Caenorhabditis elegans: one gene and its partners. The protein of the gene in region 1 interacts with the protein of each later gene in a pairwise test. Each region holds a gene or a part of one and is shown in the gene's direction. Other genes may lie near its edges.

Region 1 (8,882 bases):
ATTCTCATTTCTCACTTTTTGCTGTAGATTCTCACAAACTACTTGTCCGTGTTTTCTCTTCTTTATTCGTTGCATCTTGAAAAGTTGAGGTTTTCTACGTAATATCTTGAGTTGAAGTGACAGGGAGAAGGATCCTTGCTATCTATCTCTTATTCTATGCGTGATTTGATTGTAGGGCCGTTTGACCATGTGCTCGTGAAGAAGTCCGTTAAAAGAAGAGGGCTATAACTTAGTTGCCTTTTACTCTTCTTCTCATACTTCACTTTTGCTTCTTTTTGTCAACAGCTTCTGCTTCTTATTTGGCTTATTTTCTTATTTTCTTCTCTTCTTTTGATTGGAAAATCTCACGTTGAAATTTATTTTTCTATGAAAAAACGATTTTCCGAAAAAATTAGGCATTTTCAGTTCTTCGTTCTTAGTACCTTACCTCGCATGATTTGCTTAAATATTACCCAGGTTTCACAAGTTTCTCTATTCCCTTTTCCCTAAGTTTTTCTTACTGAATAATGTATAAGAATGTGTACGTGTAGTCGATTTTCTAATTCATCGTGTGCTTAAAAACTTGAACTAGTAATAAAATATCAAGTCCCTAAGAAAACAGCAAAATTCAAATTTCTTCACTTGTCTTTGCACCCGACAAATACCGGATGATCCCCTAGTTCAAAGACTTCCCCACACTCTTCTTTTCTGCTAAAAATAGCCAATAACTGCGCACTTATTATAATATCCAAGGCGCACAAGCACTGAAATATCCTCCTTATCAGTGGTGAACAGTGGATTAATTCTAGATTGAGAGCTCAAAAATTAGTTTTGGGAACAAAGCTACAAAAAGTTACGTATTTTGTGAAATTAAAATATTTCTTCTTGAGTTAAAATTATTATTGCCATAATAATCATACTTGAGAGTAATAATTTCTACGCAAGACTTGATCAGCCAGCCAGCTTATAAAAGTTTAATAGTGAATCAATCTATCGTCTTATTCCTCATATTATTTTTTTTTAATTTTTTTGTAAAAATATGTTTCTAAAATTATATTAGGTCTCCAAATAAGTTCCGGGTCAAAAATCATTTTTAAAAAATCCGTCCAAAAAAATTTTTTTGGTTGGTCGTCAAAAAATCTTCGAAAAATCTAGATTTTTCCTACAAAAATGATGTAACCAATTATAAACTATTTTTACACATGCAAAAAATTTTATTATATTTTATGTTATCATTTTAGTGTGACAAACTAAACCCAAATGTTTTGTATGTGTAAAAGTAATTTACACTTGGTTACATCTTTCTTGTAGGAAAAATATAGAATTTTCGACAAAAAGTTTTTTGAAGATTTTTTGACGATCAAATTAAAAAATTTTTTTTTTGGACGGATTTTTTCTAAACTTTTGTTGTTTTCTAAAAATGTATTCTAAACAAAGCAAAATCCGCACACAAACCTCAATTCAAAGCTGAAAAGAAGCGAGATCAGAAAAATGCCTGAAAAAATTGCCTCCGAGTTAGGACACTTGGGGTGGTAAAAAATTTTTGTGACTATTGTCAAATGAAAGATCATGGTTGGTAACATACATCCCAAAGTTTCATAAAAATCGATACGCAGCGAACAAAGTTATGATTTTTGACCCGGAACTTATTTGGAGACCTAATAGTACTTGTGATACTAAATATAAATAAAATTATAGTACTTGTGACACTAAATATAAAAATATATAAATTCATAAACCTGCTGTTTTTATTCAGTTTCAAATAAGTATTCGAAAAAAAAGAACTTAGTTGAAAATGTCCAATTAATAGCGTGAAAAGCATTATTTTCCTGAAAGCTCATATTAGCTTTTGTTTCTTTTTGCGAATTAAATCTACCGGCAAAAAAATATTTGAAAATTTACAACCTTGATATATTTGCATAATTTTCAAGATTGTAAATAGTTTTGTCAGAAACAAACAGTTTTTGTCATCATCTTACATTCTTGGAATCAAAAAAATTGGATGAGGAAACCAAATGCCTGAGAGCAACAGCTGAAAAGTTTTGCCCTTGTGCTCAAACACACAAGAAAATAATGAGCGAGAAGCTATTGGAAACCTGATCCGTGTCCCGTTTTTTTTCCTATCCTCGTTCTCAATTCAGGAAAAAAACTAGAGGCAAGGCTTCTTCTGTTTCTCCTTCTATGTGCTTCTTCGATTGACTTGAAAGGTGTGAAGTATGTAAACTTGACCCAAAAATTTAGCTTATAAAAAAGAAGCTCAAAAGAAGGAAAAACGGCTCAGCTTTATCGCTGCTGTCGCTTCGTTCTTCTCACGGACGTACGTGTGTATGTGCGTATGTTTATAAGCTTCTTGGCTTAGAGGATATCGGAGGCGGAGACTATGTCTGGATTTGATACTTGTGCACCGCTTTTTAATTGGGCAATATGATACTCGCCACAAATCCGGGAAGCTCCTCCAACAGCTAACCAGGAGAGAAAAAGGAAGACGTGTAGTGGTTTTACCTCCGGCCATCTGATATTATTCTCTTCTAGAGTTCCATTTACTAAATATTTGAACTACTGATATTCTTACTCATAAACTTTTAAAATGAGCCTACGACCAAAGCAAAAGTCATCATCCACTTCGGTGTTCTTAAAGTCTCACAAGTTTTCGTTAACATCTCATATTTTAAGGTAAATATTTCTTTCACGTTTTCTGTTTCTGGTTAAATTAATTATTGTGTTGACGTTCAAAATTCTTGCCAATTCTTACCTCCCTGCATTAGTTTGTGTTATTCCATTCATCCCTTCATCATACCTCCTCCCATCTGCGATTTTCATTAAACCATTGTAAAAGATTTATTCTGGTGAAGGAAGGCAAAAAAGCGCGAGACGATGGATAGTGCAGAGCGTCGACGATCCGAGACCGATATTGGTGGTGGTCCCAGAAATAGCGCTGATGCTCGGCCGAGCCTCGATCTGTCGTCCGATCCTATGCTCGAGTCGAATCTTGCACTTCGTAAACTATCTGAAGCTTTCGGTAAGTCGTCAAAACTATTCAGTAGCATAGAAAAAAACACAAGTCCTTTGTATCCCTCTAATTTGTATTCTGACGTTTCATGTGGTTCTCAGGCGAGTGGTGTTTAGTACACACATGGGATAGGGCCCATTTTGGCGTGAAGAATGTAGTTAGGGGAAGTAATTTTTTAAAAATTATGAATTAAATCAATTAACTCTAAAAACATGTTCAAAACCTTCATCACTGATATTCTACATATTATGATTTTTTACCGTTTGCAGTTCATATTTCTTGTGTTTAACAATTTTACCGGTAGACGCAGGGTGACATCCTATATTATCAAATATGAAAAAGTAGTGTTAAAAATATTTGGAAGGTTTCTGTTTACCAAGATTATTTTTATTCAGGTTTGAGAAGAAGCAAAGTCTGAAAGTAAAGCCCTTTTCAACGGACTCATTATTTGAATATGATCTACAAAATATTATATTTTTCACTGTAGTTAGTAATGGTTAGCATATCTGTGTTAGTACGTGATTCTGATAACTTTGTAGTTGTTTCCGCAATTTCTCTCGCACTTTGAAAAACTATCTAATTAAAAGCACAACTGGGCAGCTGTGGCAGTTTTTTGAAAACTAGGTTCCTTTCTATCATCTTCACTCCCTATCTGTCAAAAATGCCCATTGATGAATCATTCAATTAAAATGTCCATAGTCGATTAACTGAGAAATCTGTTGCCATTTGCCTAAAATTGACGTCAGAAAACGCATTCAGAAAAAAAGGCGGTTGTCTGAAAAAAAGCTTCCATGTGACTGCTTCATTTTAAACTTTTTTGTTTGCTCTTTTCAATCGCAAGTGAGCCAAAATAGAATTAAACATCTCAGGGAAAAAACGACTAAATATAAAATTAGAAATTAGAATTGGGACATCACAATACATACCAACGCATTGGCATTGCAAAAAAACAAAAACCAGTTTCCTTTTGTCATTGATCTTCCAATTGACATTGATTGTATTTTAAGTTTCGAGAAAAAATTCTTTAGAATTTGAACATCATATGTTTTCCTTAAATTTTCATGAACAAATTTATCTTATGACTAAAGTTAATGTTTTTCAACATAGTGGTAGACTTAATTTGGAACAATGCTATGTATTAATTTGAGGAATTGTTAAAGATAAGAATGGATGTTGTAAAAACGCCAAAACAAAAAAGTGATGATAAACATAGTATGATAAACGTTTGATTAAACTTTTTTAATATGCAATTTCAACCATAATTTTTCGGAATGTTTTGTTATGATATTTAGCAATGTTGAACTATTAAAAATACGGGGTTAGGGTACTCCTCTTTTGAAGTTTTTAAGCTGGCTGATAGCGGGTATGAATTAAGGTATCGTTAAAAGAACATTAAATTCGCCGAACAGCTACACGGAAAACTTGAAAATTTATAAATTAATGTATTCTACCTTATATTAATCTCTAGTATCTAGTGCATTTATGAACACCTCCGCATTCTGTCATATGCCCATTTTAAAATTTCAGAAGTTAATTATCCAAATAATTCATAGTTTAATCGGCAACAAACATCGCACAATCGCCTTTTCACCGACATAATTTGTTTTTCTTCGCGTCTTTTTTACGAGACTGATCTTTTAAGTTCACATAATTTTACAAACGGGTATTTTTGATTTTGATAGTATGGAATTTTTTAAAGATGGGTTCAAAATCAGGCCACTCAGTCTTTTTGCAAAATTGCAACCAGATTGAATAAAAATCAGATTAGGGATCAAGAATTACAGGAAATAGGTGGGCGGAGTCAATCACGCACCAAGAAAAAACACAGGAGAAATGGAAATTGGAATGGGGGTGGGGTGGATGCGGCATCCATTGATGAGGAGTGAAACGGCGGCGGGGGCCTGTGGTCCCAACCCAAATTGTTCTATTTTTCATGTGCAGAACGACGCCATCAGCCTCGGCTTTTCATTTGCTAGGGTAGTCGTCGCTGCTTCTTCTCATTTCGGGACCTTAACCGAAAAAACGGGAGAAACGAGAGAAAACCTCCGTTTTTTTTCACGTTTGCTCACCGCCTCTAACTCATTTAGCTATCATCTGCTACCCTTTTCAAGCCCCGCCACCAAACGTCAGAAGCTCATTTGAAACATTTTATTAATTTTAATCTTGTACCACTTCATGGAAGTTCCACAAGCACAGTCTTTAGCGGCGGCTGCTCTAATCAGCCCTGTGAAAAACAATTCCACTGGTGGAGGTGGGAATCAACAACTTTGTATTCGAAAGTCTATATCAAACCCTTCTAGTCTAAAGGTTTACGCCCATCACGAGGCACCCGGTATCATACATTTTCCTAGATTTGAATTTTCTCATCGTCTATCTATCCGGCCATTGCTGAAAAGGCTTCACGAACAAGGTGAGCTATTCTACAAAACCTCCCAATTTGCTTCCTTTTTTGAAATTGATTACCAATGAAACACTTTTGAAACTGGCTTGGTATTGTTAGACGGAAATTTTGTTTGAAATCAGTGAGCAATATTTTTTAAAAAAAGTTTCTGAAGATACAGGTCCTAGTTGAAAAAAGGTCAAAACAATGTGAAGAGGGATTTGTTTTTCATCAGAAAATGTTTATTTTTATTAAGTACTATAAAACATTTGTTAGTTTATGTTTTTGAAATCTGACAGTATAAAAAGCCAATATAAAAATTAATATTGCAAATTATCCATGCAAAGTTAGCCCAACAAATAAATGTAGCTTTTCTCATTATGATTTTTTATTGATTTCTAAAATTTTTTAATATAAATTGCATTAACAGCAATCTTGTAAACAAAACAAACATAGTAGTGAAATTCCATTAAAATTCTTCCGTTCTTAAGAAAACAATAAATGGCAAAAAGTTTCTGAGGACCTCCAAGACAAAAGCATCTTCTGCCCGCATGTCCTATGACTATTGAAAAAGGGCGAAAATAAAAAAGTGACACAACCCAGTGTTTCCTGATAAAAATTGTTCATACCCTCCCATTTTCCCCTATTTCGCTTCCCACCATTCCCATGAAACGCGCATTTACGATTGTAAAAAACTTGCGACGTCGAATTTGTAGGTTTCTTGTTTTTTATGTTTTCAAGAGTAATCATTTTGTTCTTTAAAACATGCAAAAATAAAGTTAATCCTTAAAATGACCTCACGACACGGAAGCCAAACCCCATTTCATTTCAAAGTTTGCAACTATAGAAAACGAATACAAAAGGAGGGAGGGGAGGTTACACTAAGAAATAAAATGGTGGGGAAGATATAATTGCGCGGGGCTCGGAGAGCAAAACTCACCTATTTGATTCCCTTTTTCATGTTTGTCTTCGTTTCAGCTCAACGGATCGAAGGAAAAGCATTTGTTCGTCGTGGTGCACTTCGCCAGAAAAATGTGCATGAAATCAAGTGAGTTGATACCAAACTTTGAAACAAAACCCTCGTAAAAGTCAGCACTGTCCGTTTTCCTATCTTGGTTATTTGATAGCTGACATTTATTTTGACTGAAAAATTGAAAAAAAAAATTCTTTCATTATCTTTGAATATCATAGGTCTTTCAAATGAAAACAAAAATCAATATCTTGTTCTTGTTGCACAATTTTGATTCAAAGTTTAATTCTTATCAGATCGCACAAATTCATTGCAAGGTTTTTCAAACAGCCAACGTTCTGCTCACATTGCAAAGATTTCTTGTGGGGTATAACAAAACAGGGATTTCAGTGCCAAGGTAATTTATTGGAAATTTTATTTGATATTAATAATTATTTTCTTCTTAATTTGTATCCAATGCAATTCGAAACAAATGTTTATAAATCATAAAATGCGACTATAAAACAAGTTTGATAGATAAAGAGAACTCTGTTTTCAGTATGTACCCTTGTGGTACACAAGAGGTGTCACGAGTTTGTCAATTTCGCATGTCCAGGAGCAGATAAAGGAGTAGATACCGATGTAAGTTGTGCACTCTATCTTCTTTTTCTCTTCTTTTTTTATGACATCCATTCCTCAAACTTTTAATTTCAGGATCCTCGCCAGCAGCATAAATGGAAAGTTCAAACATACTCATCGCCGACGTTTTGCGATCATTGTGGCTCTTTGCTCTACGGTATTCTGCACCAAGGCATGAAGTGCCAATCTTGTGACACAAATGTGCATCACCGATGCGTCAAGAATGTGCCGAACATGTGTGGTACCGACAATACAGAGAAGAGAGGTAGACTACGAATTGAAGCACACATCGAGAATGATCAGTTAACCATTAAAAGTGAGTGGGGTGCAACGCAGGAAATTAAATGGAAATAGACAAAAAGATTGAAAGAATTGAACTTACGTTGTTCAATGATTCTCAGGAAAATAAATATTTTCATCAAAACTGCTAGAGTGTATAATTATCTTGATACACAACATTTGTTTTACAGTTCTGGAGGCGAAAAACTTGATTCCAATGGACCCCAATGGATTGTCTGACCCTTATGTGAAGTGCAAACTGATTCCGGAGGATTCGGGATGCAAGTCAAAACAGAAAACTAAAACATTGAGAGCTACTCTTAACCCTCAATGGAATGAAACTTTTACTTAGTAAGTCATTGTAACACTTTATTTAAAAATAAAACTTGGGTTTCAGTAAACTGCTACCAGGAGATAAGGATCGGCGGCTTTCTATTGAAGTTTGGGACTGGGATCGTACATCTCGAAATGACTTCATGGGAAGCTTGTCGTTTGGTATTTCAGAACTTATGAAGGAAGCAGCGTCCGGTTGGTACAAACTGCTCAGTGCGGAAGAAGGAGAATTCTACAATATCAACATCACACCTGAATACGACGAAGATATGGAAAAAGTGCGCAAGAAGATGAATGAAAACTTTGTAAGTATAAGTTCTAATGCAATTAGGTGTCTTTTATCGTTTTAGATCACACGAGACAACAGTTCTTCTAAGCCAAAAGACCCGGCTGCCCCAAGAGCTAGTACACTTCCTCTCGGCAGTTCCAATCACAACGTGATCAAGGCTTCTGACTTTAATTTCCTCACTGTTCTTGGAAAAGGATCGTTTGGAAAAGTGTTGCTTGGCGAACAAAAAACAACAAAAGAGCTGTTTGCGATCAAAGTGCTCAAGAAAGATGTGATTATTCAAGACGATGACGTGGAATGCACAATGACTGAGAAGCGCGTCCTTGCTCTTCCGGAAAAACCATCATTCCTTGTTGCTCTGCATTCGTGCTTCCAGACCATGGTCAGTGCGCATAACAGATTTATTGAAAAAAAGGGATCAAACATGTGGAAGTATTTAGATGTTAATAGATGTTCGAATTTGTAATACATTGTTGACATTCATCCACGTGTTTTTCCCTAGGTTATTGCAAATTATTCTGTAACAGTAAGTATGACATTGAAAATAATAATTGTTGGATAGATGGAATATAATATACATAAGTCCTGAAGGCACTTATTTTTGAATGAAAACTCTTCAAACCCCCAATCAAATCCGTATTTTGATGAATCTCTGTTTCAGGACCGTTTGTATTTCGTGATGGAATTTGTAAATGGTGGTGATCTGATGTATCAAATCCAGCAAGTTGGGAAATTCAAAGAACCAGTTGCTGTTTTCTACGCTGCTGAAATTGCCGTCGGTCTGTTTTTCCTTCACTCAAAAGGTATCATCTACAGAGACTTGAAATTGGATAATGTTATGCTCGAACGAGACGGGCATATAAAGGTATTCCGATTTGCTCAACTGTTTTTCAAACTATAGATTCATATTTAGATCACCGATTTTGGAATGTGCAAGGAAAACATATTCGGAGACGCCACGACAAAAACATTCTGTGGAACTCCGGACTACATTGCTCCTGAGATTATTCTATATCAGCCTTAT
Region 2 (6,609 bases), on another chromosome or scaffold:
AAATCATTGATTTTTTGCTATTTTTCAATGAAAAATCGATAATTTATTGATTTTTCGTTTAAAATAGCGAAAAATCAATGATTTATCAATTTTTTTGTTGAAAAATCAATAAAGTATCGATTTTTCAAAAAGTATCACAAAAAGGACATTCGATTTTTCAATTGACAATTTTTAAAATTCGCGCAAAATCGACTGAAATTCGATATTTTTATCGATTTTTCAACAATTTTCCATTGAAAAATCGATAATTTATCGATTTTTTGCTAGTTTTCAATGAAAAATCGATAATTTATTGATTTTTCACTCTTTTTCCGATAAAAATAGTTTTATTATTGATTTTTCAGTGGCAATTTTCAAAAAATCGCAATTAAAATGTCCTTTTTGTGATACTTTTTGAAAAAATCGATACTTTATTGATTTTTCAACAAAAAAATTGATAAATCATTGATTTTTCGCTATTTTAAACGAAAAATCAATAAATTATCGATTTTTCATTGAAAAATAGCAAAAAATCAATGATTTATCGATTTTTCAATGGAAAATTGTTGAAAAATCGATAAAAATATCGAATTTCAGTCGATTTTTCACAATTTTCCGGTGATTTTTCGCGATTTCCACATTTTTCCGTCAAATTTCCTTTTTTTTTCTAAAAAAAAACGTAGAAAATCTATAAAAATTGATTTTTCAAAAAAAAAAAATTTCTTCGAAAAATGTTAATTTTCAGCCGAATTTTCTCGATTTTCCCCCGAAAAAAAAAAGCTCATTTTTTTGCAGAGCCGCTCGTGGCCAATTTGGTTTGGATCAGGCGTCGGTTTGGGCACCGGATGGTCGAATTGCCGTCACGATTTCGCTTCGCCGTACGTTTTGCACGGAAAACGTGTTCCAGCTGGACAGGATTCGCAAGGAAAACCGGCATACAATATTATCACCGAACAACACAAGCAATAGAGAAAAGAAGAGATAAATTTTCGATTTTTTTGAGATTTTTTTGAATTTCCGCCCGCCACCCCGCTTTTTTTTGTTCTCTCTTGTGTCGAAAAATAGGAAAATGTGTGAATAAACTTATGAAAAAATATCGATTTTTTCGGATTTTCACATGGAAAACGGAACATTTTCAGATTTTCAGATTCAAATTCGAAATCCCCGCAAAATTTTGAGCTGAAAATTTAGGATTTGACTAAGAAAATAGCGAGGAATTCGAATTTCGCATTAAAAATGCACAGAAATTATTCGGAGCTCTCAAAAAATGAGCAAATTTTCAGAAAACGGAACAAAAATTTTGAATTTTGACGGGTTAACCGAAAATTTGAAAATTGCAGTTTTCTATAAGAAAAAAAATCGGGAAATGGATGGAAAAGACAGATTTTTCATTTTTACATCAAAAATTTAAGAAAATTCTGTTTAAAACTGCTAAAAACCGATTTCTTTGCAAAACCCTGTTAAAATATGATTATTTCCAATTTTCGAGCTCAAATTCGAGTTCCCCACAAAATTTCAGGCCAAAACCCGAAAACTAGAGGTTTCTAGTTCAATTTTGAATTTTCCCGGATTACGGTAGCGCCAAAAGTACGCAAACACCGACTACCAGTACTTCTACAGTACCCCTATATTTCTAAACCCCTGCAAATCTTTAAAATACGCCTGAAATCCATGAAAATTATAAAAATTCGGCTGAAAATTGTGAAAATATCCATATCACGTGTAATTTAAATAAAAGAAATCAATGAAAATTTAATTTAATTTTAAATTGATGACGTGTAAATGATCTTTCAAAAAAGAAGAAAATTTCCGTATGACCTCCCGTGTTATTGTTTTCCACATCCTTATCTCGTGAATTTGATCAGTTTGGAAATCAATCAATAATCAGTTTCAACTTTTTGCCCGACTGGAGGATGTGCCTGCCTACCATTAAAGCATTCAAGACAATTCTGGACGCCGGGAGCCACCGAGCAACTCAACTGGTGCCGTTGAAGAAGCTGAAGGCCGAGTTTCAGCTGAAAAGTGATATTTGTGAGTTTCTATGTTTCAGAAAAATCTGAAAATTTCCAATTTTCAGATGTCAAACTCGAATATCTCAACATCTCCGGGTCGCTGGAAGATCGTGCGGCTCACCGAGCATTTGAGGTGAGAAAACGGAGAACAATTGGGAAATGTCAATTCAAAATTCGAATTCCTTGCAAAATTTCAGTCTGGGACTGCAGAAACTAGCTGAAAATCGCTTCATTTTGAAGAATTTCCAGCTTCGACCGCGACGCGGCCGCAACGCGCGGAAAAATTGCCGAATTTCTGGTTTTTAACCGAATCTGGTCGATATGGGGTTTAAAATTTAGCAAATTTTGCGGGAAATTCGAATTTTTTAGTTAAAATTTTCCACATTTCCGGGAATAGTCACAAAATTATAGGTGTCAGTTAAAATTTTTGGTCACAATGGACTAAAAATAATTTTTACCAATTTTCGCTGCTAAATTCGAATTTATCTTAAAATTTCAGTCGGAAAATCGAAAACTAGAGGTTTCTAGCTCAATTTTGAAATTTCTCGGGGTACGGTAGCGCCAAAAGTACGCAAACACCGAATTTCACGCGATTTTCGAGTTTTGAGCTGAAAATTGAGTTTTAGACTCAGAAAATGGCGAGGAATTCGAATTTGATAATAAAAAATCCCAGAAAGTAATCTAAAATCTCAAAAACAAATTTTTTTAATTGATTTTTTCTTTTTCAGATGTCCAACGGAATCCAACGAGGCGACGAGGTCTACGTGACCGCCGGCGGATCATCTGCAGTCTCCTATGCCACCGTGGCAGCCGTCAAGGGGGTCAGACTAACCGCCCACGCACCTCCCGGAGCATTCGACCAGGTCAGGACGATTCTGAGCACTTTGGGAACCAAGATCGTGGAGCTCCCGGTTTCAAACTTCCGAGAAGCTCGGCTCCAGGCTGATCTACTGGCCAAGCGTCGAGGTGTCTACAATCTTGATGGGATCTGCGAGAAAGCCGCGTTTCTGGCGAATCTTGAAGGAACTGCACCGGAGATTGAGAAGGCTGGGAAGACCAGTGCAGTTGTGGTACCCCTGGATGCTGGTGGAGCTTCAGCGGCAGCAGGGATCGCTGCTTACTTCTTAAAGGATCAGAAGACAACAGTGGTCGGAGTGAGATCTTCAGCTTCAGCTTCAGCTTCAGCTCCAGCTCCAGAAACAGAAGTTCTTCTGCAGAAGTACAAGGTGGAAATCCGAGATGCTCCTGAATCCTACACCTTCACCAGACACCTCATCGAGACGGAAGGGATCATGGCTGGACCATCTTCCGGAGCGGCAGTGCTGGAAGCCATCAAACTCGCCAAGGATCTTCCAGCCGGGTCAGTGGTCGTGGTGGTTCTGATGGATGGAATCAGGGACTATCTAGATGCTGATTGGATGAAGGTGAACGGCAAGAAGCCTATCAAGCCTCGTGAGATCTTCGACCCGAAGGTGCTGGACTACGATCCGACGAAGATGGTCGGGGAGTGGAAGAGTTCCAGCAAGTTCAGGTAGGTTATAGGATCTGAGATTTAGCAGAAAATTTGATTTTCAGGCCGGAAAGACCACTGGTTCTCGACTCAGTCCTCGATGCGATCGGCAAGACGCCACTGGTGAAGCTTCAGCACGTTCCGAAGGCTCATGGAGTCAGGTGCAATGTTTGTGAGTTGGGAATTCCTCTGTCCGGTCTAGTCTAGTCTAGTCTAGTCTAGGCTAGTCTAGTCTAGTCTAGTCTAGCCTAGCCTAGTCTAGTCTAGTCTAGTCTAGTCTAGTCTAGTCTAGTCTAGTCTAGTCTAGTCTAGTCTAGTCTGGCCTGGCCTGGTCTGCCAAAAATCCTCATCTTGGACAATTTCAGATGTCAAATGCGAGTTCCTCAACGCGGGCGGCTCCACCAAAGATCGAATCGCTAAGAAAATGGTCGAAATTGCTGAGAAAACCGGCAAACCCGGAGCACTCACCCCCGGAGCCACCACCCTCATCGAGCCCACCTCTGGCAACACCGGGATCGGCCTATCCCTGGTCGCGGCGGTCCGTGGCTACAAATGCCTGATCACGATGCCTGAGAAGATGTCCAAGGAGAAGTCGACGACGCTGTCGGTGCTAGGATCCACGATTGTCCGGACTCCCAACGAGGCGGCCTTCAACAGCCCGAGCTCTCACATCGGAGTGGCTCTTCGCTTGAAGCATGAGATTCCGGGTGCGGTGATTCTCGATCAGTACTGTAATCCGGGGAATCCACTGGCACACTATGAGGAGACTGCGGAGGAGATTTTGTGGGATATGGGGGATCGGAAGATTGATCTAGTGGTGAGTAGGAACTTCGGATCAAGCTTCAACTGTTACTCTTACAGGTCCTTGGCGCAGGAACCGGTGGTACCATCACCGGAATCTCTCGGAAGATCCACGAGCGCCGTCCCAACGCGATCGTCGTCGGCGTTGACCCGAATGGATCAATCCTGACCGGCCCGACGACTGGACCCGCTCCAGATTTCTACGAGGTTGAAGGGATCGGCTACGACTTCATCCCGGGGACCCTGGACGAAAAATCAGTAGATTCCTGGCTAAAATCTGATGATAAGGAGTCATTCCTGATGGCTCGAGAGATCATCAGAACCGAGGGGATCTTGTGTGGAGGATCGTCGGGATGCGCGGTGCATTACGCGTTGGAGCAGTGCCGGAAGCTGGATCTGCCGGAGGATGCGAATGTCGTTGTGCTGCTTCCAGACGGGATTCGGAATTATCTGTGAGTTGTCTGGGCCTGGGGCCTACAAAATTAGGCCCAGCTTGCTTTGAGGTCTATTTGCTGTTTGATCTCTGAAAATTGCGGGAAACCTATAGTTTTTGTCGTTTTTAGAGGTCAAAATACTACTCTGTAGCCCCGAAAGCCAAGCTTAAACATAATTTTTCAGCACCAAATTCCTCGACGACGACTGGATGAAAGCCCGCGGCTTCTTGTAAATTGTGACCTAAAAAAATACTTGAAATTGGAATTATGAACTGAATTTTTGACATGAATGAAGATTTTTCTCTTTTTAACCGAGTGCAATCGCGCTCCATTGATATTTTTCCAGATAATTGGGCTTTTTTCCCGAGTTTTTTGAGATATAACCGATTTTTCATTAAAATCGATGAATTTTAGTGGTTTTTGCATTAAAAATGACCGAAAATGCATTTTTCCAGCAATTCGCCCTGTAAAATTAGTGAAAATATGGATTTTTCGTCATATTCCCTGCAAAATAGACAACAGAAGCCATAATTCAAATAACAGAAGCCATATTCGCCGTCCAGCTCAATCGCGCTCCACCGCACCACACTCAAATCCCCCTGCCACCCCGGCACGCGAAGGGGGCCCGGACAATGAGACACCCTGCACACTTACTCTCGCCGCCTCTCGCTCTCTCCGCTCTCGCATTTTCTATTGATTTTCCTCTTGTTTCCTCGAATTTTTTAGTATTCTAGAGCAGAATTTGGTGTTTTAAATCAATTTTTTTATATTTTAGAGCTCGAAATTATGACTTCTCTCGTGTTTAATGACAAAATGATGGCGGAAGAGGGTATGATGGTTCCACAAGCGGAACAAGTGAGTTTTTTGTGAGAAATGAATTAATATCGAGATTTTCCTGTGAAAAATGCTCAAAATCATAATTTTTAGGAGAAAATTTAAAAGAAAACGTCAAAATAGGAAATATTCTGAGCTTGTTATAGGAAAAAAAACCGTTAAAAAAAATGATTCCACAGAGGTTTTTTTGCTGATTTTTATCGAATTTCGGCCTAAAATTTCACTAAAAATTCATTAAACCCCAAGATTCACTGATAAAATTTTGAAGAAATTGCGAAAATCTTTGGAAAACCGAAAAAATAGGGTTTTTTTGAGGAAAAAGTTCTGAAAAAGCTAGTACGAACACACTTGGTGTCACGCTGTCCCATTACGGTTTGATCTACAAAAAATGCGGGAACTTTTGCTCAAAAAATGTGACGTCAGCACCACGTTCTCAATCATGCGAAATCAGTTCCCGCATTTTTTGTAGATCAACGTAGATCAAACCGAGATGGGACCCTTTGACACCAAACACAATTTCAGAAGCCATCCATCCTCTTTGACACCAATTACGAAGTTGTTACACAAGACCACTTGGTAGAATTCGACTACGTGTATGCTCCCGGCGAAGGAGAAGCCGATGCGAATCCTGAAAACCTGTTCAGTAACGTCTTCCCGTCAGAGCTGCCGATCAACCTGACTGGTCAGGATGATAAAAGTACTATGACAGCAAAGGAGAGACGAGCGGCTGCGGATAGAGCTAAGTGGCAGAGAATGTCGGAAGAGCAGCGAACTGCTCTCAATGAGCAAAGAAAGCGTCGTCGCCACAGTAAATGTGATTCCGAGCAGATGAAGGAGGCAAATGCGAAGAAGGCGGAGGCGGCGAGAGCCAGGTATCATCAAATGTCGGAAGAGGAGAAGTTTGCCTACAATCGACGGAAATATGAGTCACGAAAGCAGCGGAAGACAGAGGAGCGGCCTCTCATTGATATTGAATCTTTGGTAAGACTGGCGAAAGCTGAAGCTATACAGAATGCGCGGAAGGTTGAGGTGTGAGAAG
Region 3 (7,123 bases), on another chromosome or scaffold:
GTTCTGAAAATTTTTCAAAAAAAAGTTATGGTCTTTCAAAGTTTTGGAAAAAACGGTCTATTTTTAGCTAAAATCTCAAATTTTGGCAACTTATCGGTGTCGCAGTGATTGGAACTCGATTTTTATTTGATTATCATCCTTTAAAGTTTTGAGAGGCCATAACTTTTTTTTGAAAAATTTTCAGAACGTCTCATTACGAAATTCGGTAGTTTTGGACCATTTTGGGTCTAAAAACGCAAAGTCTCAAATTTCGGTACCCCACCTTTAAACAAAATCCGGACTTCCTCGGCAACTTCTCTGCCAACTTTAGCAACTTTAACAAATTTCCAAGCGCAACAGTTGCAAAAGTTGAATAAAGTTGGTATTAAAAATTTTTCATCTTCTATTTGCACATCACCTTTTCCACTTCTTATCACAATGTCACCGATAACAAATGCCCATAAAAGGAAATTTTTTACAGTCCGACTTCCAGCATTATTTTCTCCACAAAATCATATTTTTCGATGTATGTCAAACTTTTTTTCTTGGCAACACTTTCTGTGTTATCTAGTGCCGTTTGCCCAGACAGTAACGACCAGGAAATCAAAGGACTATGCTTCAAATTTGTAGCTCAGCAAGTCACATTTAATGATGCTCGTGATTGGTGTTTTAACTACAACCGAGCTGCTTCATCATATTTGGCATACGTCCCTAATCAGGAAACGAGCAATTTTTTGGCATGTGAGTATCAAGAAAATTTGTAGCAATTCCATTAGGGTTTCCTGGGAGGCAGAGCCTGACACCTGCCTCCAATTGAAACATTTTTCTCGTTAAAGCTTTGTATAAAATGTATTTTTCAGTCTACGCCCGTTCAGCTTTTGGTGCGGATGCTGAAAACTTTTGGATCGGGCTCACTAGAGATGGTTCTTCTGGCTACTATAGATGGGATAACGGATCTCCAGTTCTATACACGAACTTCGGTGATAACATAGGAAACACGTTTTTCACTGAGAGCATCTCCAATACAAAATGGTATACACTGGGGGATTTCGATAAGAACTACTTTTTGTGCAGTTATGATCCACCTGGCAATTCAACGACAAAATCTGGAATAACGACACATTGAACAACTAGTGGCACTAGATCACGGAGCTCATAGGCCGCCATTTCTTTTCAATTGCTGAAAAATGAATATAAAAATTGTTCGATTATTTTCAACGCCTTGGTTTTTGCTTGTCATTTTTCCAAAATCTTAGAACTTGAAACTATTGTCAAAATAAAAAAAACTGCGGTTTTTGCGCTGTATCTTCGCATTTTCTTGTCTTCCGTTTCCGTCATCGTGGGATTAATGATTTTATTTACAGGAACACCGGCCAGAAGTCAATCACGCTATGGATCAGCCACTTTGTCACTTCATTCTACAGTCGTTTGATGGAACCATCCGTGCACTACGAGTTCAATTCCCATGCCTCCAAACTTCTAGGCTACAGCAATCTCGTGTGCGTTCGCGCGCGTGCTTTGCTGTTCTATATCCTCTTTTGCTTGTCTACCATTTACCTTCAATAAAACGGTTGTGTTCCTGTGAATTGTCTGCACGAAAATTTTTAAAAATCTACTTACTTTGGCTTTCGAGACAATTTTGAATATTTCAAAGAAATTTTTTTGAAACTACAGTTCATTGTATGTTGGGTTTCAACTTCCTGACAAGGATGGAGCAATTGAAAATGCACATTTGTTTGTAGTTTTCTCATATGTCAGTGAAATTTCCTTGAAAATTTAATTTATTTAATTTTATAAAAGATAGAAAAAAGCCAAAATGGAATAATTCACAAGACGTCAGCTATAAATTAATTTGTTTCAAGCAAAGTTGAAATTGAAATTGAAACTTGAAAACACACATGAAATTTTAAATTTTGAGTTCATTTTATTATTCATTAGTATGCAATCAATGATACTCTTAGATCGATTGTCAATAAGGAGTTTCCAAATAATGTTGCGACTTCCACTCCGTACCGCCACTGCCTCAAATTATTACTACACATTTTTTTTTGTAGAAACTCCTATGTGTTTCTGATAAAATGTTTTAATACCTTTTTGTTTATGAAAAATCACAAGTCATATGCATATGCAAGTATTAAAAATTGATAAGCCCACTTTTTGCGTACATCTTGCGTACTCGAGACCCCCACTTGCTGCATACATCGTGTTTCGAGTCGTACTACTTTTTTTCGAGTTTCCAGATGCTTCTTCCCAAATTTCTACTTTTAACAGCATTTCTTGAGTTTGCCAGTGCTATTTGTGCTGACAGTAATGATCAAGAAATCAAAGGATTTTGCTTCAAGTTTGTAACCCAACAGTTGACATTCACAGATGCTCGTACTTGGTGTCATTTGAAGAATCCTGTCGGTCCTTCTTATTTGGCTTATGTCCCTAGCCAGGACACATCAACTTACTTAGCATGTGAGTATACATTTCGATTAATACAAAGGGTCGACTATTACCATTTTTTTTTCAACCGGGATATTGCAGATTTTGGCTGTCGGCTGGTACAGCCAGCCGATACTTTTGAAATTTTTGAAAAAAGAGCAAATTTCTTCAAAACTCTCAAATTTCATTTACAATGTTACAAAGAATTATCGGCCGAAAGCCGACGAAATTTTATCAGTCGGCTGGCGCCGATCAAGTTAATTTATTTTAGTTTACGCTCGTTCTGCATTTGGCGCGGATGCTGAAGTCTTTTGGATTGGTCTCAGTAGAAACGCCTCGTCTGGATCCTTGTCTTGGGATAACGGGCTTCCAGTCGCTTATACCAATTTTGGCACAAACGTCGGAAAAAACTACTTCACTGAGAGCATCTCCAATACTAAATGGGATACACTGGGCGATGGTGATTTGAATTTCTTTGTCTGCAGTTATGCGCCTATTGTCAACTCAACGACAATGACAAGTATCACTGGTACCACAAAACGAATGACAACCACTACAATAGGTAATTAACTGAAACATTCTTCACTCCTAGACGTATCATTTTAGAAAAACTTAATTGCAAACCCGGTGATCACCAAATTATTTTGTTCGCTTATTCAAATGACTTGGCTCCAAGTGTTGTGACGGATGCATTGTATTATTCTTCACTTTCAAGCCAATCTGTTACTTACGCCGTTTCGAGATTTGATTTACGTCAGCCAGAAGATATCCAATACTTTAGTGACTACAGGTAAGTTTTGTTCCTAAAACGTTTCAAAGTTTTAAGTAACGACAGTGGGAATTTTGTTTAAATACACTCCAGTGATCCAAAATAGCCAAATATAACATTCAAAAAAGTTTTAAATTTTTCATAATTTCCAGTCAAAGTTTTGGCAAATTGCCGAATATTTTAAAATTATTTATTTATTTATTTCAATACGATTTTTGAATCGCGTCATTAGAAAAGAATACAAAAATCATTGTTTTACTGATTTTTGAAATTATCTGCAAGAAGTTCCGCTTTTTCTTGGTCTGTGCTGACTAATGCCCCCGATGCAGTTGTTAAACTAGATAGATGTATCTGTTTAGACTTGATGAGATTTTTTACATCATGAGTGAACTCAGAGTTCCCTCCGGATTTGAGCGCTTTCAATTTAAGGTTTCTTTGGTTTTTTGAAGCTTTTTCCTATATTTTCTAGATGTGCATACATTAAAAAGAAATGCTTCAATGTTGTTTGTTTTCGCAGCTGTGGTGTATAATTTAGCAGCAAATTCTTTGAGTAAGGTTAAGTATGGTGGGAGTGAACTTTTTTGTGTTAATTTTTTAGGCACTGAAACTTCAAACGCGTTTTTCATATTCGTCAGGAATATCCGAAACATCGTATCTATTGAGTTTGTAGGTGAGAATAACTCTAGCTCGCGTATATTTTAAATGCGCAAGCAAACAGGTCTATATTTGTGAAATCATGTTACTCTTTGTACTCACGTCGCAGTTCATTTAGTATTTCTAGAGAAAAATCAGCTTGCAATTACTGAATATCACATCTAAGATGTTGTGTGACCTTTTTGGGACTTTGACGTGCTGAACCAGGTCATGCGATCTGCAGAAATCGAGCAAAAGTGTTTCCAAACCCGGATATTCGGTTAAGATATTTATTCAGCAGAGAAATAGTGTCGGTATAAGTTACAGACCTCGGTATATGCAGGTGCAGACGGTATATTTTTATAAGTCTCAGCGGCATAACCTTGACATTCAAATCGATAGCTGGAATTTCGAATGATTTCTTTTTGATTCAGTTAAAACTAAATCGCAGGGAATGTATATTAGCATTTGAGGACATCCTAAGCAATGTCGCAAGTTCCGACCCCTACAATGTTTTAATACTAATAATTAAAACAAGTTTACAGTATAAAAAATGCAGGAAAAAACTATTTTTGGTTGACTTCCAAAATCATGAGTGGCATAAATTGTTTCTGTTTGACAAGAAACAAAAAGTTTTCAAAACATTTCTGAAAATGATATTTGGCCATTTTTCTGGCTGTTCACAATTTCTCCACTGGCACCACCTTGAAACAATACTTCAGTCTATTCTCTTCTTACGTTTCCTCTCATCTACCGGATTATACATTAGGATTCGAAGAAGCAACAACAGGAAGTAATGTGTTTGAAGTTATTAACGTAAGTATTCGGTTGAACAGGTAAAACAATAAATATATAATGTTGAAAGATTTAGAAATTTTACGACAACACCCAAGCCACGTGTGGTTCAAATCTTATAATTTTGTCGAAACGATACCCCAATACAGCAGATGTATCGAACATTGTGCTTAAAGTTCGAAAAAGTCAAGGAATGGTCAATTTTCTTGCGTCTCATGCTCCTTCTGGCGGTACAGTGTCTCAGGGGCTTTATGATCTGTGTTCTCTAACCAATGGAATCTACTCTATTGGACGCGATTCCTCTTTCTCAAATGTCATACTTACATACAACTTTTGTTTTAAAACAGTCATATTTTCAGATGATCGAATCAATGCCTATACGCTATAGATACGCAATATATGCTGACAATCCCAAAGTATCAGGACAAGGATCTCAAACACTCGCTTCAATGTCCGTACCAGCCGATGGTACTTATTATTTGTCAATGATGCTTCAAAACCATAGTACGTGATAGATTCAGAATGCTCAAAAACTTGGGTGCGGCAAAGTGTACTCAAGCATCTGAAAAATTGTTGCAACTTATTTCAGTTCGAAATTCAATTAGAAGCGATGATTCGCTAAAAAAGTATAATTTACACAGATTTTAAACCGTGCAGAACATCTCAATATATGTTTTTTCCTGGCGAAAAAATAACTTCCTGTTCTGAAAATACAGATTTACTCTTGAAACGTTCTTACTACATATGTATCACTTCATTTAGTACATGTACATACTTTTTCAGCTCCGGTCAACACTACTCAATCTGTACTCCTACACTGGTATAGTCCATATTCTAGATACTCGAGCACAGCGAGTGTGCACGGGTTATCTGTAAGATTTCAACATCCAGCAAAATGTTTTGTAGTAAAAATTGCAGTTTGAAACTAATAATAATGGCGCAAATTCGGAAATACTTGATGCGGCAATATACAATGTGACATTGGACTTTGTTTATTTCACTAGTGAAACTATGCAAATCAGATTTTACGGAACGTAAGTCATTTTGCAAATCGTGTTCGATCAAACAGAATTATATTTTCAGCTCTACTGATCATTGGTTGCCGTACGCTGATTGATAACTATTAACTTCTACCACTTACCTCCAATAAAACTACTGTGTTTTCTTGTCGAATTCAAATTTCCAAAACTCAACTTACTTCGGCTTTCGAGAAAATGTTGGATATTTCCTAGATTTATGTATACATTCATTTAAGATTTTGTTGAAATTGTTGTGCTTGGGTTTCCGAATTTCCTGATAAGCTATTAAAACTTTTTTGGGGCGAGTCACTGAAATCACTGAACACTCGTCGCATTTGCTTCACATTATTCACTTTTTCATATGTTTCCCAAAATATCTATCCTGAGATCCCTAGTCCGGATATCTCGTTCCGCTTGTTCTGATAGTAAGGACAATGAGATTCAAGGGCAATCTAAAAAAGTAGTTTGTATGTCTGAAAATTCAAATACGCAAAGAAGAAATACATTTAAGTGCAAAAAGTTTACCTATAGGTGTGTATACATAACACATGTATCGCTGACGTACATACATGTGTGGGAAAGTTCTATAGGACCCCCTCCTCATTTTTGACGTTTCACATATGGCAAAAAAATTTTTGAAAACTTTTACCGTAGATTGATTTCAAAAAACACAATAGTTCACAGAAAATTTTTGCTATACTAATTTTATTCCTTTTAAATACTTCGCATATATAAGATGGTTAAATCGCTTCTAGTCAGACGAACCAAGTGTTTTTGACAACTATGGCGGGAAAAATATGTTTGCATTTTTTTAATTTTTGCCATCTTTGTGTGCAGTAGAGAGATGGGACAACCTGACCCACGTGATGTGCAACATTGTGAAATGCATTTCAAAGTAGACACACAGTACCAAACATCGTTTTAACTTTTGATCGAGAGTACGTAATGAGTAATAATTTCCAACTGCTTATCACAGCTTGATTCAACGTCACGTTCTTGTGAACTTTTGTGTGTTCATATCATTTGCAGTTTTGATCAAATTTTTATATTGATCTTAGCTTTTTCTTATCGTGATTTGCTTAGAATTCATTATTTCCAAAGTTATACCTTATCTCGTGAAAAAAGAACGACATATGTGTACGTCACCGATGTATATATAATGTAGGTAAACTTTTTGCACGCATTTGAATTTCCAGATGCTTCCCAAACTACTTCTCTTCTCGATAATTTTTGAGTTAGCCAACGCCGCTTGTCTAGACGGTGACCGAGGAATCGCAGGACAATGCTTTACGTATGTGGCTCAACGGATGACGTAAGAGGATGCTCGGAATTGGTGTCATCACCAGAATCCAGTAGGTCCTTCCTACTTGGCATATCTTCCGAATTTTGAGACAAACAACTGCGTGGCATGTGAGTAACAATAGCTAACATTAGTCTGAAATATAAGGTTTTTTGATCATAAGACTAGAATTTCATCAAAATATATATTTTTGGGGAAAAT
Region 4 (8,358 bases), on another chromosome or scaffold:
TCGCGATGGCTCAGTTGGGTAGAGGTTTGGCTTTGGTTTCGGAGGTCTGGGGTTCAATCCCCACTGTGGTCAATGATTTTTGTTTCCATTTGGCAAGTACTTTATGGTATTTTGAGAGGTTATTGAGTCTCTTATTTTAGATTTATGCACTTTTGGAGAGTTTTTTAAACAAACAAATTCCATAGAAACTACTTTTCTAAAATAAAATCAATTCAAAATTGAAAATTGATACGATTTTCGGATTCCCCGTGAAATTTTGTCCTAAAAACCACTACCGTACACCTAATTTTCTCAAAATAAAAGTTGCGACGCAGTGGCTCAGTTGGGTAGAGGTTCGGCTATGACGCAGAAGGTCAGGGGTTCGATCCCGGCTAGGGCCAACAATTTTTGTAACACTGCAAACTAATTTCAAGCCAATTTTTAATAAATTCCTAGGATTTGTTGAGGTTCTGCAAAACATTTTCGAAAAACAATTTTGGAAAATAATTCAAAAATGTTTTTTTTCAATTTTTTCAAAATTCATTTTACAAAATCCTACCTGTATCTTACTCCAAACTAGAAAATAAGTAGCAGAAACTCGTCGATGTTTACTCAGAAAACCAAAAATAATTAGGTATCAGATTGCAGAGTACAAACAATGCTGAATTTTAGATTTTTTCTCCCAATTTTCTTATATTTTCTAGAAGAGGAGAAGCTGCTGCTGTTGTGGAATTTCAAAGCAGGAAATTGTGCGGTTGAATGGCTCGATTTGAAACAACAATTGACGTTTGAAGAGGTGCAGAATTCGAAATTAGTTTTTTGTTGTGTTTTGGAAGATTTTGAAGGTTTTTGGGTAGAAAACCTATAGGAAATTAGGTTTTTGGTTATGAAAAAAGTTAGAAGTATTTTTTTAACAATTAAAACGAAGAAAAAATTATTGACCAGGGCGGGGGTTCAAACCTGCGACCTTCTGTGCCGAGCCAAAATTCCACTGCGCCATTCGACCAAAATTTAAAACTCGTCTAAAAATTAGGGTTTTAAACCAGAATTGCACAGAAATAGTAGTTTCAAAAAACAAAAACAAAAAACATCGAATTTGCGACGTTTTGGATTGTTCAACAAAAATGATGAAAAAAAATTTTCAAAAAAATCTGAAAATTTTCGAAAAACGCCTGAAATAGGTATTTTGAGTTAGTGTCTCTCTTCTAAGACTAAACTCTAAACTAAATGGTTGAAATAAAAAATTCTGACCACCACTGGGGTTCGAACCTGTGACCTTCTGAGTCAAGCCAAAATACCACTGCGCCATTTGGCTCAAAATTTTAAAAATAACAATTTTCAGCTTTCGATCTAATTTTCGTATTTTAAAAGTTATTTTTCAGAAAAAGCATAAAAGCAAACAATTTTGACCACCACGGGGGTTCGAACCTGTGACCTTCTGAGCCGAGCCAAAGCCAAAATCCCACTGCGCCACTTGGCCCAAACTTTTAAAATTCTAGATTTTCAAAATTTTCGGGGTGGTTATCATATTTTCTGTTGTTTTGACACAATAAACACATATTTCCGAGAAATTTTCCCCCTGGATTCTGTATTCCTACAAAAATTGGAAACGTCACTCTATGTAGGAAGTGTCTAGTTTATCCGCCGCGCGCGTGGGGAGCGTTCCGGTTTTTCAAACGATTTTCACGTGTTGGGAAAAACCTGGTTAAACAGCATATGATCAGATAAATTTGCCGATCGAATTAAATATTTGGGAAATATTGTGACATTTTGGACGAAAAAGTATGTTTTAGAGAGTTGGTTTTCAAAAAAATTGGAAAAAAATGTTTTTCGAGTTATTGGAAAAGTTAGATTTTTTGTTGATTTCAAAAAAAAAATTTTTTTATTAAAGAATTTTTTCGACATTTATTTCGCAGCCCTATGCTCTTTTTTTAGACAATTTTTTACACATTTTCCCCTCAATTTTTCTAATCCACCAAAGTACACTCTATCCACTTTTCCACCTCTTCAGCTGTCCATTAGCTTCACCGAAACCTGCGAGAAAAAGATCGGGAGATAATTTTCCCCGCTAAAATTCTCTAGGAGATGTTTCTGTTTCAAAGCAGAAAACACAATATGATGATGATCGACCAATATCTTACCGCCCATCACAAAAATTTTTTCGGAGAAAATTCAAAGCTTCCTGAATCAAAATGCGTGCGGATATTCAATGCTTACGTGGATTGGCTATACTTTTTGTGTTTACTTACCATTTATATCCTTCAGTTTTTCCAAATGGTTACCTTGGAGTTGACATGTAAGTCCAGTGAGGTGTCGGGTGCTTAAGAGAACTGTGAGGCGCCAGTTGCTCAAAGAAACAGTGAGGTGTCGGCTGCTTTGGAGACTAGTTCGGCGTCGGCTGCTTGAGGGGCCAGGGAGGTGTCGGCTGCCTTAGGGACTAGTTAGGTGTCGGCTGCTTGAGGGGCCTGGGAAGGGTCGGCAGCATTAGAGACTAGTTCGGCGTCGACTGTTTGAGAAACCTGTGAGAGGTCGGCTGCTCCACTGGCCAGCCGGGTGTCGGCTGCTTGGAGGACCAGTGATGTGTCGGCTGCTACAGGGACCTGTGAGGTGTCGGCTGCGTGATCAGTCAGGTTTCAAGAGACTTTAGCGCAGTAAAAACCCCTGTAAAGTGTCGGCTGCACCAAAATTTTTTTTTCAGATTCTTTGTGATCTCCGGCTTCCTGATGGCTCGAAACCTTACCCACGTGAAAATTACCAAAATTTCTCAAATTTTCGGATTCTACTATCGCAGATTTCGTCGAATCCTGCCACTTTACTATTTATCGATTGTCGTGACCCTAGTCTCCGCCCATTTTTGGCTCCGCGAGTTTTGGTGGGATGTCAATCGGCGATATTCGTTAGCTGCAACATTTTTAGTCACTAATCAGTTGCTGATCCAAGATTTGAATGACTATTTTCAGCAGGTAATTCTTATTAAAAATGGAAAAAAAAAAATTTGCCGTTTTTGTCCGTTTTTGAAATTTTTGCACGAATGGCGCAGTGGGATTTTCCTTTATTTTCTTTGCACTCACAAGGTCACGGGTTCGACCCCCGCTGGTGCCAGTTTTTTTTGTTTTCAACTTTCTCAAAGGAAATGACGTTAAAAATGAACTAAAAACCTCGAAAAGCTTAATTTCCGACATTTTAAAAATTTTGGGCCGTTTGGCGCAGTGGGATTTTCCTTGCACCCGGAAGACCACGGGTTCGACCCCCGCTGGTGCCAGTTTTTTTGTTTTCAACTTTCTAATAGGAAATGACGTTAAAAATGCAGTAAAAACCTTGAAAAGCTTAATTTCTGGCAATTTAAAAATTTTGTCCCGAATGGCGCAGTGGGATTTTCCATGATTTTCTTTGCGCCCAGAAGGTCACGGGTTCGACCCCCGCGAGGTCCAAAAATTTTTGTTTTAATGTTCTAAATTCAAAAATGCATAGACTTAGCATAATTTTTCATTTTCAGTACCTCGCCGACGGCACCTCCATCAACACTTTCATCCATACTTGGTCCCTGGGCGTTGAGATGCAATTCTACCTGCTTGTCCCTGTAATCTTTATAGGCTTACAAATTGGACTGCCTAATAGTCCACGTGGCAAGCTGGCACTAGTCTCCGGGATCTCGATTTTCGGAATGTTGGGATTTTTACTCAGCAATTCAAATTTTGCCTTCAATTACATGCTGCTAAGGTTATGGCAATTTTCCGCCGGATTTGTGGCACTTTTTCTGAAAAAATGTGCACCTACGGAACCTGTGAAAGATTCTAAACCAGAAACGTGGAAAATTCCCCAAAATGATGTTGCATATTGCCTGGTTGCCGTGCTATTTCTGTGTATTTTCCCAGCGGAGGCAGATGCTGTTTGGCTCCGCCCACTTGTAACATTTTCAGCTTCTGCGGTGATTTTCTTGGAGAACAAGACTTGCGGGGTAAGATGTCAAGCCAATTTTGAATTTTTTCCAGAAAATTGGTAATTTTCAGACCCTGAAAAGCTCAATTTTGTGCTATTTGGGAGATATTTCGTATGTCATGTATTTGGTTCACTGGCCGGTTATTGCAATTTTCAAGGAATCAACTATTCAGAGTCATGCAGTGTGTATTGGTAAGGCTACAAACTACAAACAACAAATTGGAAACTACAAACTACAATTGCTAAAATCGAAATCTAGAATCTGGAAAAATAGAATACAGTAACTTCAAGTTTCAATGTTGAAAACAAAACATTTGACAAAACTTCAAACTACAAACTACATACTACAAACTACAAACTACAAACTACAAATTACAAACTACAAACTACAAATTACCAAACATGAAATGCATAATACACACCTTTTTCTTAGCACTGACCATTCTCATTTTGAACTTTTGCAGATTATCCAAAAACTGTGTGAGAAAGTGAAAAAACTATAAAAAACAAACTACAAACTACAAACTACAAACTACAAACTACATACTACAAAATATGAAATGCATACTACAAAATACACACCTCTTTTTTAGCACTATCAATTCTCATTTTGAACTTTTGCTGAATATTGAGAAACTGTGCGAAAAAGCTTAAAACTACAAACTACAAACTACAAACTACACTTTCCCCAATTTTCAAATTTTTCAGCACTGACACTTCTGATTTCTGTAGTGGCTCATCACCTTTACGAGAAACAGTACCTGAAGCTTGGCACAAAACCGACGGCTCTTCTGATCCTACTGCTCATTTGCCTAAACGGAGCAGCTCAATGGAGCACTAGAACCCACGAATTCTGGAAACCTAAATATCAGCCAAGAGTTCGAAAAATTGTCGACGAGAATATGAAGCTTCTTCCCTATATTACGTCGTATGAGCCCAGACAGGAAACTTGTCTGGAGACTGAGCTTCCCGAGCTGAGGAAGAATGGGTTTAAATTTGACTATTGCAGATATCCGGTAGGACTACAAACTATAAAAACTACAAACTAGATTTCTTGTTAACAGAAAGCTAATGGTACTCTATCAGTAATGCTCGTTGGAAATAGCTACGTGGAAAATTTGGACGGACATATTCGAGCACAATTTCGCTCAAACTATTCGGATTGGACATCGCTTTTTATTGGAGGTAGGCGGGACCCATCACGGTTTGATCTACAAAAATTGCGGGATTTTTTTATCCAAAAAATGTGACGTCAACACGTGCTTAACCATGCGAAATAAGTTGCGAACTCTGCGTCTCTTCTCCCGCATTTTTTGTAGATCTACGTAACCACGTGCAAGCCTCTTTTCAATTTTTTTCAGGCTGTAACGGGTTCTTCCACAACGGGAATTTCTCAACACCGGCTGGATATTGGGAGCAACTATCCCTGAAAATTGCCAAGGAGCAGGTGGAACTTCGGAAACCGGATGTTCTGTTTGTTATAGCCAGATATTCTCCGTCGTTGAAACAACCTATATGGGATATTGAGACGGATGAGGTTGTGGCGATGATGAATAAGTATTTGCGGTTTTATGAGAGGTCAGCGAAAATTTGCGGTTGTTAGTAGATCATTTGAAAAAAATTGAACTTTGAGGTTGGAGCTGACAGTGACTCAAAAAGGATCTTGTTAGGATAATCCACAATTTTTCGTAGTTTGTAGTTTATAGTTTGTGGTCATAGTTTTTTATTTACTCCTCAACCGCACCGCAGTTTGAATTCAAAAAAAAAGTTTCGTTCTTTTTGAGGTAGTCCACAATTTTTTGTTAGTTTGTAGTTTGTAGTATGTAGTTTGTAGTTTGTAGTTTGTAGTTTGTAGTTTGTAGTTTGTAGTATGTAGTTTGTTTTCAATTTTTTGTTTCCTCGGTGGAAAACCACTAAAAAAAGCAACAAAAAAAAACAACAAAACGAGAACCCGAAAACTCAAAATTCAACAATAAATGTTGTAGTTTGTAGTTTGTAGTGTGTAGTTTGTAGTATGTAGTTTGTAGTTTGTAGTTTGTAGTCCGCAGTTTGTAGTTTGTAGTATGTAGTTTGTTTTCAATTTTTTGTTTCCTCGGTGGAAAACCACTAAAAAAAGCAACAAAAAAAAAACAATTAATCAAGAACCCGAGAATTCAAAATTCAACAACAAAAGTTGTAGTTTGTAACTAAACTAAACTATAAACTATAAACTATAAACTACAAACTACAAACTACACACTGCAAACAACAACCTACAACTTCTATTTTTAATTTTTAATTTTCGGGTTCTCGATTTATTTTTTTGTTGCTTATTAAAGTTTTTTTCAGCGAGGAAATAAAAAACAATGAACGCAAACTACAAACTACAAACTACAAACTACAAACTACAAACATCGAACTCTGAAAATTAGAAAAGTTTTGAAAATCTGATAAAAACATAAGACAAAAAAAAATTAAAAAATTGAGTTTTTTTTTCCTGTAACGTAGAGTACTAGAAGCCTAGTCTTATTTCAATATGACCTACCTAGACCTAACCTACCTAGACCTGACATACCGTACCTAGAAGCCTAGTTTATTTTAAGTTGGGCAGTTGTTTAATTTTGTACGTCCTCAATTTTCAATATCTTTTAAAAAAAATTCCAGATTCGCCAAGAAAATCTACATCCTGGCACCTCACCCGCTATACCCTTTGAATTTTATGAACAAGTACCTCGATACAGTAACCCAGAAGCCAGCGGAGCTGGAGAGCCTTCACTTGAAAAAAATCGACGTGGATGAGGATTGGAGAACGGCTCGTGAACGTTTCAGTAGGATAAAGTGCACAAAATGCAAGGTTTGGGTGCAAATTTCTGCGAATTTTCAACAATTTTCCCCAACTAATTCCAGGTTTTCAACCTCGGTGAGCTGTTTCTCGACGGCGACGTGTACCTGACATTCGACAGGACTACAAAACTATCATACGTGGATAATCACATACATTTGACGGGTCCCGCAGTGGCAAAGTGTGATAAAGTGTTCAAGGAGATTGCTGAGGAAGTTTTGGAGACTGTTTGACTCATTTTTTCATTGTTAATTTTTAAAAAAATAAATGTGTTTATTTAACTTTTGATTTTAGAGGCTAAAAACTATAAACTACAAAGTACAAAACACAAACTACAAACTACAATTACACAACAGCAACAACAACCCACAACTCAAAATTTCAATAAGTTTGGAAATAATATGAATACTTATTGCAATTCTATGTTCAAGTGGATTGTTGTTGGTATGGTGTAGTTTGTAGTATGTAGTTTGTAGTTTGTAGTTTGTAGTTTGTATTTTTTAGTTTGTAGTTTCTAACTTTCTCGCGCAGTTTCTCAATATTCAGAAAAAGTTCAAAATTTGAATTGTCAGTGCTAGAAAAGAGGTGTGTATTTTGTAGTATGCATTTCAAATTTCGTAGTTTGTAGTTTGTAGTTTGTAGTTTGTGTTTAATGTTTCATATTTCCTCGTTGATAAATCTTTGGACAGCAAAAAAACTAATAAATCGAGAATCAGAGAATTCAAAATCAAAAATAGAAGCTTTAGATCGGAGTTTGTAGTTTGTAGTCTGTAGTTTGTAGTCTGTAGTTCGTAGTTTGTAGTTTGTAGTTTGTAGTTTGTAGTTTGTAGTTTGTAGTTTGTAGTTTGTAGTTTGTAGTTTTTAGTTTGTAGTTTGTGGTTTGTAGTTTGTGGTTTTCTATTTCCTCGTTTAAAAACTTTGAAAATCTTGAAAAAAATAGAAAACCGAGAACCCGAGAATTCACAATTGAAAATAAAAGTTGTGTTAGTTTGTAAGTATTAGTTTGTAGTTTGTAGTTTGTAGTTTGTAGTTTGTAGTTTGTAGTTTGTATTTTATAGTTTGAATGTTGTATTTTGTAGTTTGTAGTCTATAGTTTGTAGTTTGTAGCCGCTAAAATCAATGTTGCAAAATTTTAAAGTTTTTTATAAAGTTTTGAAACTTTCTTTGCAGTTTTTCGTACTTTTTCTTTGCTCATTTCACGCAATGTCTGAAATTTTCAATTATTTATAATTAGATGGGAAAGCGCTGCGAATTTCGAATTTCAATGAGAAATTATAATTGCTCTGGGATAGAGAGGGCATAGCTCACCCATATCACATTTTCTGCATTTTCTTTTCAGAAACTAGACATTTCTACATTTTTTTACAACAAAAGTTATATTTTTGAGGTTTTAAAATAACTTTTTAAAAATGTTTTTAAAGTTTCAAAAAGTTAAAAAAAAAATTTTTTTCAAAATTTTTTTTTTCAAATTTCAAAAAAAAAAAAATTTCCAGAAATGCGTGAAAAATGGTCGAATATGGTTTTGGGCATAACTTGCGCCATGTGCATCTGCATGTCTCTTCTAGTATTCATTATGGGCCTTGTCTACATGACTACAGTAGTCCTGGCGAGCCAAACGG

The links.
Region 2: the proteins of pkc-2 (region 1) and cbs-2 interact in a two-hybrid assay, tested with the Caenorhabditis elegans proteins (one large-scale study listed by BioGRID).
Region 3: the proteins of pkc-2 (region 1) and clec-76 interact in a two-hybrid assay, tested with the Caenorhabditis elegans proteins (one large-scale study listed by BioGRID).
Region 4: the proteins of pkc-2 (region 1) and oac-1 interact in a two-hybrid assay, tested with the Caenorhabditis elegans proteins (one large-scale study listed by BioGRID).

The regions. Positions count from the first base shown.
Region 1 is NC_003284.9:9,373,705-9,382,586, forward strand, and holds the start of pkc-2 (Protein kinase C-like 2), read left to right. Parts: upstream 1-2,566; coding exon 2,567-2,652; intron 2,653-2,831; coding exon 2,832-2,998; intron 2,999-4,860; exon of another isoform or gene 4,861-4,991; intron 4,992-6,347; coding exon 6,348-6,417; intron 6,418-6,635; coding exon 6,636-6,736; intron 6,737-6,877; coding exon 6,878-6,960; intron 6,961-7,032; coding exon 7,033-7,273; intron 7,274-7,427; coding exon 7,428-7,587; intron 7,588-7,633; coding exon 7,634-7,874; intron 7,875-7,919; coding exon 7,920-8,240; intron 8,241-8,519; coding exon 8,520-8,723; intron 8,724-8,771; coding exon 8,772-8,882. UniProt on the Caenorhabditis elegans protein: PKC is activated by diacylglycerol which in turn phosphorylates a range of cellular proteins. PKC also serves as the receptor for phorbol esters, a class of tumor promoters.
Region 2 is NC_003280.10:2,218,824-2,225,432, reverse strand, and holds cbs-2 (Putative cystathionine beta-synthase cbs-2), read left to right. Parts: upstream 1-1,865; 5' UTR 1,866-1,892; coding exon 1,893-2,010; intron 2,011-2,056; coding exon 2,057-2,124; intron 2,125-2,719; coding exon 2,720-3,522; intron 3,523-3,566; coding exon 3,567-3,673; intron 3,674-3,866; coding exon 3,867-4,318; intron 4,319-4,362; coding exon 4,363-4,754; intron 4,755-4,800; exon of another isoform or gene 4,801-4,920; coding exon 4,921-4,969; 3' UTR 4,970-5,037; downstream 5,038-6,609. Other genes in the region: F54A3.5 (MICOS complex subunit Mic10), read left to right, coding at 775-948; Y59C2A.3 (Trichohyalin), read left to right, coding at 5,523-5,591, 6,093-6,551.
Region 3 is NC_003282.8:3,963,113-3,970,235, forward strand, and holds clec-76 (C-type lectin domain-containing protein), read left to right. Parts: upstream 1-2,133; 5' UTR 2,134-2,219; coding exon 2,220-2,439; intron 2,440-2,677; coding exon 2,678-2,968; intron 2,969-3,012; coding exon 3,013-3,196; intron 3,197-4,530; coding exon 4,531-4,624; intron 4,625-4,679; coding exon 4,680-4,916; intron 4,917-4,962; coding exon 4,963-5,107; intron 5,108-5,386; coding exon 5,387-5,475; intron 5,476-5,521; coding exon 5,522-5,637; intron 5,638-5,686; coding exon 5,687-5,720; 3' UTR 5,721-6,081; downstream 6,082-7,123. Other genes in the region: Y46C8AM.1 (C-type lectin domain-containing protein), read left to right, coding at 504-720, 840-1,105.
Region 4 is NC_003283.11:19,549,661-19,558,018, reverse strand, and holds oac-1 (Acyltransferase), read left to right. Parts: upstream 1-2,049; 5' UTR 2,050-2,171; coding exon 2,172-2,275; intron 2,276-2,677; coding exon 2,678-2,942; intron 2,943-3,475; coding exon 3,476-3,937; intron 3,938-3,989; coding exon 3,990-4,110; intron 4,111-4,626; coding exon 4,627-4,934; intron 4,935-4,982; coding exon 4,983-5,103; intron 5,104-5,279; coding exon 5,280-5,496; intron 5,497-6,561; coding exon 6,562-6,751; intron 6,752-6,804; coding exon 6,805-6,972; 3' UTR 6,973-7,020; downstream 7,021-8,358. Other genes in the region: Y43F8B.20 (T20D4.11-like domain-containing protein), read left to right, coding at 8,235-8,358.